Mus musculus: one gene and its partners. The protein of the gene in region 1 interacts with the protein of each later gene in a biochemical or structural test. Links are inferred from orthologs where the notes say so. Each region holds a gene or a part of one and is shown in the gene's direction. Other genes may lie near its edges.

What was found.
Region 2: the proteins of Ap1g1 (region 1) and Synrg form a complex in vitro, tested with the Homo sapiens proteins (2 studies listed by BioGRID). The link is inferred for Mus musculus from reciprocal best matches to the Homo sapiens genes AP1G1 and SYNRG.
Region 3: the proteins of Ap1g1 (region 1) and Clint1 form a complex in vitro, tested with the Homo sapiens proteins (2 studies listed by BioGRID). The link is inferred for Mus musculus from reciprocal best matches to the Homo sapiens genes AP1G1 and CLINT1.

Annotation. Positions count from the first base shown.
Region 1 is NC_000074.6:109,851,571-109,855,090, forward strand, and holds part of Ap1g1 (AP-1 complex subunit gamma-1), read left to right. Parts: intron 1-129; coding exon 130-257; intron 258-963; exon of another isoform or gene 964-1,971; coding exon 1,972-2,076; exon of another isoform or gene 2,077-2,220; intron 2,221-3,095; coding exon 3,096-3,237; intron 3,238-3,412; coding exon 3,413-3,520. UniProt on the Homo sapiens protein: Subunit of clathrin-associated adaptor protein complex 1 that plays a role in protein sorting in the late-Golgi/trans-Golgi network (TGN) and/or endosomes.
Region 2 is NC_000077.6:84,005,917-84,009,436, forward strand, and holds part of Synrg (synergin gamma), read left to right. Parts: intron 1-2,701; coding exon 2,702-3,520. UniProt on the Homo sapiens protein: Plays a role in endocytosis and/or membrane trafficking at the trans-Golgi network (TGN). May act by linking the adapter protein complex AP-1 to other proteins. Component of clathrin-coated vesicles.
Region 3 is NC_000077.6:45,903,955-45,907,474, forward strand, and holds part of Clint1 (clathrin interactor 1), read left to right. Parts: intron 1-2,226; coding exon 2,227-2,513; intron 2,514-3,520. UniProt on the Homo sapiens protein: Binds to membranes enriched in phosphatidylinositol 4,5-bisphosphate (PtdIns(4,5)P2). May have a role in transport via clathrin-coated vesicles from the trans-Golgi network to endosomes. Stimulates clathrin assembly.

The DNA of each region.
Region 1 (3,520 bases):
TTCTTAATTGACAATGGCTTTTTAAAAACCTGCTTTGACCAGTGGACTAATTTAGCATGGACTGCATGAGAGGCAGCACCTTGAGCTCACGGTTGTCACTGGCTACATGTTGCATCTTCTTCCTCTCAGGTGACAGAAGATGAAGTGCTGGATATTTTAGAAAGTGTCCTGATCTCTAATATGTCCACCTCTGTGACAAGAGGCTATGCTCTCACTGCCATTATGAAGCTGTCTACCCGATTCACCTGTACTGTAAAGTGAGTACTGAGGGAAGGAGAGTTGCAAGGTTGGTCTGTAACTCCCAAGGGTGATGGAGTGTCCTCAATATCACTCTCCACCTTAATTTTTGAGGTAGGGTTTCTTACTTAACTGGAAGCTCACTTATTTGACAAGTTGGCCACAAAGCATCAATAATCTATGTCTAAGGGATCACTTCTATAGCGCTAGGATTATATACTGTCACACTCAGTGCTTGCATGGGAATCGCTTTACCCACTGAGCCACCTCCCTAGCCTGTTCTGTAGCTCATTTGGTATTTTATTTGCCTAACACATACAAAGACCCGGGGCTGATCTTAAGCACTGCAAAAACCAGGGTCTAGATCAGGTGTCTATGATCATCCTTGACTTTATGACTAACTTCACGCTAAAGCTAGTTTATATGGGACTCCGTCTGAGAAGTTTAAAACCTTATCTTAGAAAATTTCAAGAATAGACAAAAATGGGGCTGGAGAGATGGCTCAGCAGTTAAGAGCACTTGCTACTCTTGAAGAAGACCCAAGTTAAATTCCCAGCATCCACATGGTGGTTAACAGCCATCTGTAACTCTAGTTCCAGTGATCCAATATTCTCTTCCAAATCTCTTCAGGCAGTGCACATACATGGTGAGCAGACATATTTTCAGACAAGGCACTCATACACATAAAATAAAAATCTTAGAAAAAAAGAAATGGAAAAAACTAGAGACAATAGTCAAATGAGTTTTAATTTACTTAGTACCACACACAGAATGATCAGTTCATTGCTCATCTTTCTTTTGTGTCAGTATTTTGTTTTGTCATTGTCTCTCCCTACTGTGCATTATTTTGCAGTATTTTTATAGTATAGTTTTATAGTATAGTTTCTAACATTTGTGGTTTATTGGGCTTTTTTTGTTTGTTTGTTTTTTGAGAAATGGTTTCTCCATGTAGCCCTGATAGTTCTAGAACTTTCTCTGTAGACTGGGCTGGCCTTAAACTCAGAGATCTGTCTGCTTTTGCCTCCCAGTGCTGGATTAAAGGCGTGCAGCACTATGCCTGCCTTGGTTTATTATATTCGAAGATGTTGGTGTAGGAATAAAATCCAGATTTGTGTGAGTGTCTTTGTGGGGGGTGTGTGTGTGTGTTTAAATCTTTTGAGTTTTAATTGGTGCTATTTTGAGCAAAAATTGATTTGAGTCAGTTTTCCTGGACTTTTCCGTTTCATTTTCAAAGTGGCCACAACCTATGAGCCAGATAGCTTTGTGAGAAGTGTAATTATTTAGTGTTTAGATTGCTACAAGGATTGTAGTGAGCACGCTAATGCTAAAACCTCATTTTCAAAGTTACTAAGAAAGAGAATTGGACAATATCCATTTCTTTGTGGCAAAGTGATGGGTGCTTTTGTTTGCAAGGGTCTCAATGAGGAGATTGGACGTCAGTCCTCACATGCTGGGCAAGCACTGCACCAGTAAGCTGTGTTCCCACACCTCCAGTAAGCTTGAGGATGGGGAATAAATACCTAGGTAGAAGTTTCTCATTACAATTACAATATTGATAAATGAGTGAATAGAGATAAGGGAATTATAGTTGTTCTTGAAACACAATTTGAATTAAGGAAACATAGAGAAATCAGAAATTTAACCAAGAAACTCTGTTTTGATCATCTTCACTGCTCCTTATAAATTTTGTGTTTTGAATGATTGATTTCATTTATCCTATTATCTGTCCCACAGCCGAATTAAGAAAGTGGTTTCCATCTATGGGAGCAGCATCGACGTAGAGCTCCAGCAGAGGGCAGTAGAGTACAACGCACTTTTTAAGAAGTATGACCACATGAGGTGAGCAAGAGCCTTGCTGTACCCACCTCTGGCACCTGAGTGACATGTCCTTTTTGTCCCTGAAGGACACTTGTTGCTTGTGCTGCATTTCCTTCCTTCTCACTGAGTGGCCGCTTTTCTCCATGTTTTCTTCTTTCTAACCTCCTAAGAAATAAACGTATTGAGTCAGATGGAGGCAGAGGCAGGTGGATCTGAGTTTAAGGCCAGCCTGGTGTACAGAGCGAGTTCCAGGCCAGCCAGAATTACATGGTGAGACCCTGCTTCAAAATAAATCATTAAAAAACAATGTGTTTTTTAGTCTACCTCCCTCCTCTACCTCTGTATGTAAAGTTTGCATCATTTTCCATTTTATTTGGCTAAAAGGCAGTTGGAGTTTTTTTCCAAAAGAATTTTTTTTCTTTATCTTTCTTGAGACATGGTTTCTTTGTATAACCCTGGTTGTCCTGGAACTTGCTCTATATACCAGCCTGGCCCCAAACTCAGATATCTGCCTGCCTCTGCCTCCCAGTGCTTGGACTCAAGGTGTGCACCACCACTGTCAGACCCAAGAGAAATAATTTTATTCAAATCCCATAAATCCCATTATTTGTAACATTTTGGTGCCTTGCTTTTTTTCTTCTTTCTGTTCTATAATACCTAAGTCCTGATTGAAGTCTGCTAATACCTGCTGGGTTACCTTTCGTTTGTCTTAGTTGTGTTTGGGGATTTAGATGTACATTTTATTTATTCAGAGACTCTTGACTGTTTCTAATCCAATTGAGAATGTAGGTCATGTATGTATTCTTGTAATACACCTTCTGTTCCAGTTTACGTGAGTGTATGTGAGTGCGTGTATGTGAGTGCGTGTATGTGAGTGCGTGCGTGTGTGTGTGTGTGTGTGTGTGTGTGTGTGTGTGTGTGTGTTGGGTGGGGAGGGAAGGGGAGATGCTTCCTCACAGTAACTGATAATAGTGGTTGTTTTGTGTAGGGTATGGAGGCTAACTGCCTAGAATGTAATTGACCACTGCAAATTCTTCTAGGTCTGCCCTACTTGAAAGAATGCCTGTCATGGAAAAAGTGACCACAAATGGCCCTTCGGAGATCGTGCAGACAAATGGAGAGACAGAACCAGCGCCCCTAGAGACTAAACCACCACCCTCAGGGCCACAACCCACAAGCCAGGTCCTTGTCTGGGGCTACTGGTGATATTATAGTTCTGTAGCTTATTTCTTAGCTGTTGTCCTTTAGTATTTTTTGATTGCTTGATAATTGCCGTCCTTGATGTTAAGTATTGAGGAGAAAAACTGTTAAATACACTTTAGACAAATAACTCGTGAATAATTATTTCCTTATTTAGGCCAATGATCTATTGGATTTGTTGGGAGGAAATGACATAACACCTGTTATCCCAACTGCACCTACAAGCAAACCAGCATCAGCTGGTGGAGAACTTCTCGACTTGCTA
Region 2 (3,520 bases), on another chromosome or scaffold:
TTCCTTGAGGTGGACCATTTGAGGTCCAGATCTTTCCTCTCAGCACTTGGGAAGTGGAGGCAGGAGGATGAGGAACACAGGTCATTCTTGGCAATAGAACAAATTGGAGCCAAAAACTAAGAGAGATGGGGGAGTGCTGTGACTGGGGCCTCTGCAGGACCTCATTCAGAAATGAGTCTCCTGCGCTGCTGCGCGACAGCTTCATGTCTCCTCACAGGTTAAGCCAGACGCTGTATGTAAGTTTTGAACAGTGGTCAGCATAAAGAAAGGATACTTCTTATTGGAGCTCTAGCTAAATACTCCTTCAAAATGTTCTCAGGGCCTAAAAAGTTACAAAAATCAAAGGAGGAACTGGAAAAGAATCTGAGAGCCAACTAACAAGCTTCCAGAGGGGCAACAGTCACTCCAGCGAGTTAACTTGCTGACGTCATTCTCTTTGCTGTTGAGTTATAAACCCTCTCCTTTCTCATTCCCTTCAACCCTTTCACCCAGTTCACAGTTCTGATGGAGAAGTTTACAATTCATCATCAGTAAGTTTAGTTTGCTGTGCGATTTGTGTTTAAAAATCAAAACCTGTCAATTTCACAGATATTTCAAAGCAACACATCAAAATTGTATTTAGGCCATGATCTGGACATGGTATCCCATGCCTTTAATTATAGCGCTCATGAGGCTAAGGTAGGAGAATTGCCATGAGTTCAAGGTCAGCCTGGGCTACCATGTATTTTGCCTCAAAATACCAAAAATGACCCCCAAAAAAGTTTACTACTAATTATATCTTCATTTATAGAAATAACACAAATGTCATCGACAACGCATCTGTAAATCCTAGGGTAGTTTTCACATTTGTATTTCCTGTCAGTTTGTGAAATTGACTTATGTCATGTCTTAAATACAAAAATTATAGGAAACTTGAAATAGGCTGCTCTTGTTTATCATATTTCTCTATACTATGGAAGGATTTGTGTTGATGGCTTTTGCTAGTAAATAAATTCAGTATCAGATTAAAAAGCAAAATTACATTGTTTCCAGTGCTTTTTCTCTTTGGTAAATTAAAGTGTAGCTCATGCATGAGGCCCGATAGGTTGAAAGCCCATCTCTTCCTTGGTGGCAGTTTTAGAAACTGGTTTTAAGGTTTGGCTTTTAAGTACACTTTATGGTTCATTATGCATCTATGTTTGATCATTTAGGAAAAACAGTTTTTTAAAACATTGATGAGAGTGTGTGCCTATGATCCCAGCACTCAGGAGTTAGAGGTGGGAGGTTATACATTCAAGGCCAGCCTGGTCTGTCTGGTGAATTCTAAGCCAATCAGAACTACAAAAGTAGACTGTCCATTTGAGGGGGTGGGGGCGCGGAAGCCATGCAATGCTGGTGCACACCTTTAATCCCAGCACTTGGGAGGCAAAGGCATCTGGATCTCTGATTCTGAGTTCAAGGCCAGCCTGGTCTACAAAGTGAGTTCCAGGACAGCCAGGGCTACACAGAGAAACCCTGTCTCAAAACCTAAAAGAAAACAAAAAAAGAGTGGAGGTAAAGTAGCAGAGAAATTTAGGCTTTTATTTCTTAATCTCCAGAATTGGCAATCATGTTAATAGATATTAAATGATGTTGGTTGGTATAGCAATACTCACAGTTGGTATATCGCTGGCTTTCATTAAATGGCTTATCCTAGTGGTTTCATTGTAGGCCTTCAAACATTGTAAGAAAACTGAGGTTATCTACATCCTGACATTATAATTGTAAGTGCTAAGATTAGACATGAGTGAAGAGTAGAAATCTTATTAAGAATCATGGTTCCAAAGTTTAAAGACTAAGTTCTCAGGGGCTGGAAAAAAAATGGCCTACAGGATAAAAATGTTGCAGAACCTGATGGCCTGAGTTCAGATCTCAGATTTAAAACAAAGGAGAAGAGAGAGAGAGTCTACACACACAGCTGTCCTCTGACCTCCACATGAGCACTTAACTTGCTTTGCAGATAAGTAGTTATTTTCTCAAAGATTTTTACAAAAAGAACATCCGATTAATGTCAGTGTACTTGAGCAAGACTACATTGTATCCTTTCTAATATTTTGTGTTCCTGTGTGTGTGCATGGGTGTCAGTGTGTGTCATGCATGAGTTTGCCAGTGGGCACTGAGCTACACTGTTAGCATCTAGTAATGAGGTTGTTTATTTATTGTTGATGATGGTTAGTTCATTGGTTGGCTGATTAGTTGGTTGGTATGTTGGAGAGCTGATCTAGTCATGTAGCCCAAGTTAGCCTCAACTTGTGATCCCTCTACCTGAGCTTCCCAAGTCCTGGGAAGGTGTGTGACTCAACGCCCAGCTTCTAAATCTTTCTAAAGTGCTTAGTAGTTCAGAGTTGTACACTCTGAATACCAGATGCAGGATTCTCTGAGTCCTTCACTGATACCTTTGAACTTGTTTAAAACATTATAATGCTTCATGTTTAGTGGGCAGCTCTCAGTGTGCCTCTCAGAATCCTCCAGCTTCTGGTTCAGTTCTGGCCAGAGGAGGAGAGAGTCTTGAGCCGTGCTTGCCTGTTTCCTTATCACTGGCTTTAATGGAGACACAAGGCTGTGGACTGTGGTTACCATTGAGCCAAGGATGGGTGTACAGGGTTTTACCTTGGTTTAATGCATCGTGTGCCACATGGTCTTCTGCTCTGCATCCTTACTGAACTGCACTTCTTTTTTTCAGGAGAGAGCTTTGCCGAGTTCAGATCCACAGGAACCGATGATGGCTTCACTGACTTCAAGACCGCCGATAGTGTGTCACCCCTAGAGCCACCCACAAAAGACACTTTCCCATCAGCTTTTGCCTCAGGAGCTGCACAGCAGACACAGACACAGGTGAAAACCCCTCTGAACTTAGAAGATCTAGATATGTTCTCCTCAGTGGATTGCAGTGGCGAGAAACAGGTGCCCTTTTCAGCTACATTTAGCACAGCAAAGTCCGTTTCCACTCGACCTCAGCCAGCGGGCTCTGCAGCAGCGTCAGCAGCACTGGCATCCACTAAAACTTCTAGTTTGGCAGATGATTTTGGAGAGTTCAACCTCTTTGGGGAGTATTCAAACCCTGCATCTGCTGGGGAGCAGGACGACTTTGCAGATTTTATGGCTTTCGGTAACAGCTCCATTTCATCTGAGCCAAAAGCAAGTGACAAGTATGAAGCCCTCAGGGAGGAAGTGAGTCCCAGCCCCTTGTCCAGCAGCACTGTGGAAGGGGCACAGCACCCACCTGCTGCGGCAACCAAGTATGATGTCTTCAAACAGCTGTCCCTAGAGGGCGCTGGGCTGGCCATGGAGGAGTTCAAAGAGAACACTTCCTCCACCAAGAGTGAAGATGACTTTGCCGACTTCCACTCCAGTAAATTCTCATCCACGAGCTCAGACAAATCCCTGGGAGAGAAAGCCGTGGCTTTCAGACATGCCAAAGAAGACTCCTCCTCGGTGAAGTCTTTAGACCTCCCCTCCATCGGTGGCAGCAGTGTTGGCAAGGAGGACTCTGAAGATGCAC
Region 3 (3,520 bases), on another chromosome or scaffold:
AGTCTGGGTGGTGAACTCACTTGGACTGCCCAAGTTAATCCAGTGTAATAGTATCAAACCTCAGATGATGACACATGTCGTTACTCCATCTTTACAATATAGATTTAAGAGTTGGGCCTAGGGCTGGAGAGATGGCTCAGCGGTTAAGAGCACTGATTGTGCTTCCAGAGGTCCTGAGTTCAATTCCCAGCAACCACATGGTGGCTCACAACCATCTGTAATGGGATCTTATGTTCTCTTCTTTTTTTTTTTTTTTTTTTTTTTTGAGCTTCTAATGCTTTTTTTTTTTTTTTCCATTTTTTATTAGGTATTTAGCTCATTTACATTTCCAATGCTATACCAAAAGTCCCCCATACCCACCCACCCCCAATCCCCTACCCACCCACTCCCCCTTTTTGGCCCTGGCGTTCCCCTGTACTGGGGCATATAAAGTTTGCGTGTCCAATGGGCCTCTCTTTCCAGTGATGGCCGACTAGGCCTTCTTTTGATACATATGCAGCTAGAGTCAAGAGCTCCGGGGTACTGGTTAGTTCAGAATGTTGTTCCACCTATAGGGTTGCAGATCCCTTTAGCTCCTTGGGTACTTTCTCTAGCTCCTCCATTGGGAGCCCTGTGATCCATCCATTAGCTGACTGTGAGCATCCACTTCTGTGTTTGCTAGGCCCCGGCATAGTCTCACAAGAGACAGCTACATCTGGGTCCTTTCGATAAAATCTTGCTAGTGTATGCAATGGAGTCAGCGTTTGGATGCTGATTATGGGGTGAATCCCTGGATATGGAAGTCTCTACATGGACCATCCTTTCATCTCAGCTCCAAACTTTGTCTCTGTAACTCCTTCCAAGGGTGTTTTGTTCCCACTTCTAAGGAGGGGCATAGTGTCCACACTTCAGTCTTCATTTTTCTTGAGTTTCATGTGTTTAGGAAATTGTATCTTATACCTTGGGTATCCTAGGTTTTGGGCTAATATCCACTTATCAGTGAGTACATATTGTGTGAGTTCCTTTGTGAATGTGTTACCTCACTCAGGATGATGCCCTCCAGGTCCATCCATTTGGCTAGGAATTTCATAAATTCATTCTTTTTAATAGCTGAGTAGTACTCCATTGTGTAGATGTACCACATTTTCTGTATCCATTCCTCTGTTGAGGGGCATTTGGGTTCTTTCCAGCTTCTGGCTATTATAAATAAGGCTGCTATGAACATAGTGGAGCATGTGTCCTTCTTACCAGTTGGGGCATCTTCTGGATATATGCCCAGGAGAGGTATTGCTGGATCCTCCGGAGACACCTACAATGTATTTATATAAATTAAGTAAATAGGCTTGTGGGCCTGGATTAGAAAGGCTACTGTCTTTAGAGTAGAAGCGGAGAGGCTGCCAGGCAGAGCCAAATATGCCCTTCAAAGGCACACCCTTCCTCCAGCCTGGCACTACCTCCTAATGGCTTACCATGTATGAACTCATCTAGACTGGCTCACTGACGCGCTTAGCACAGCTAAGTTGCTTCTCTGTGCTGCAGATTGCAGACCAAGTCTTTAATACCTACCCCTTCAGCTTGCATTTCAAATTCAAACTAACAAGAGTTCTCCTTGCTTTTTATTGAAATATAATGAGCAGTCAGCATACTGGAGATTGTTCTTAGTAGTAGCCCATGTGTAGTCAGTGGGAAAAAACCAGAGTGAGACCTCCTAACACAAATGTATTAAATGTTCACATGTTATTTTTCTAGCTTCTTATTCTCCATGGTTTATTTTGTTCTTATTAAATTATAGATCATGAACATGAGGCTTTGCAAATTACGTAGGTATAAATTGCAGGCTGATTTCTTTTTGAACCTTCTAAATGAGCAAAGATGGGACTCTTAATTGTGGAGTACCTCTCCACTCCCACAGGAAGTTAACCGGTTTAGAATCTCCTCCTTTTTCTGAGTCCCATGTGCTTAGGTGATGCAGACTTCGTTGTGTGATTTCATGGTGCTTTTTGTGTATCATGCACAGGTCTCCCAAGAGGTGGGTTTACTTTGAGAGTTCTAACTTTTCTTTGCCACCTTGGAACACTCTTGTAATATTCATCAGGAAGGATTCTGTCCAGATGGTGCTGGGGCCTGTAGATGCTAACCTGCATGGGCTCCCATCAGCTTCAGTTAGTTGCAGTTCATATAGCTTACATTTGCTCTGGGCACTTCAGAATGCCTCTCACCCTTGCCTTCTTTCTGTCTTGGTAACAGCAACAAGTGGGAATGGTGACTTTGGTGACTGGAGTGCCTTCAACCAAGCCCCATCAGGCCCTGTGGCTTCTGGTGGTGAGCTCTTCGGCAGTGCCCCACAGTCGGCTGTGGAGCTTATCAGTGCTTCACAGCCAGCTTTAGGCCCACCGCCTGCTGCCTCAAACTCGGCAGACCTGTTTGATCTTATGGGCTCATCCCAGGCAACCATGACGTCTTCCCAGAGCATGAATTTCTCTCTCATGAGCACTAACACCGTGGGACTTGGTTTGCCCATGTCCAGATCACAGGTAAGTTGTCTGTTTCCCTTGGGAATTGGTGCTTACACTAGTACTAGAAGGTCTAATAGCATGATGAGTTAGTGTAAGACAACACGGACTGACTCCTCCCCCACCCCATAGTCCAGTGTGGGCTAAACACTGTTAGGTGACACAGGACTGCACGTGACATGCTGTAGGTTGCACTTTTCACCCATTGGGTCTTTTATGTGTTCTAGAAGGCAGGGTAGTCTTACCTATTTACAGTCCCTGGCACAGAGAGATGTGCTGAAGTCTTGTGGGTTACCACAATTAGTATTTAGTTGTGTTTAAACATTGATTTGGGGGAATAGATTTGCTGTGTGACTCATGGAAACTAGTTAATAAACTCTGCTTTGTCGGGATGGTTTTGTGTCGCTGTGCGTTGATGTTCAAGTAGAAAATCCAGTGATGGATGAAACCTGTTCCCGGCTTGTTGGCAACCTTCATTTTAACACAGGGAAACTTGTGAGAGGTTTCTAATTCACACTTTAAATAAGAGTTAAGATTTTTGCATAACAGTATCTTAGACTTGAACATAGTTGGAAAATGAGTTGTACTTGGGGGTTTGCTAGCTATGGCTGAGTCACTGATAGGTTTCTATGCTAATCCCTTGTTTTAATGTATAGATCCTCGTCTTTGGGGTATTGGGACGAAGGAAGGGAAGAAAGAAGCAGAGCGGTGACTGAGAGGCCAGCGGCCTTCTTTCAGCCACTGTGTCCTCCAGCACTTCGCCTTGGTAGACTTCTCATTTCTTGTCACCCATTCCTTTTTTCTGTCCCTTTAAAAGTCATTTTTAGCAGCCACCATGCACCTCTGCTTCTTTCTCCTGAATTCCTTCTATCAGTCCACATGTGTTTCCTGAGCCACTGATGGTGCCCACTCGAGGCAGTGGAGGTGCACAGAGCCAGGAAATGCCAGTCAGGCCCTGGGACGGCCATTTGCCGCTTGATGACTTGGGCTTTATGCCATGAGCAGACAGAGTTGCATTCCGCCTGTCC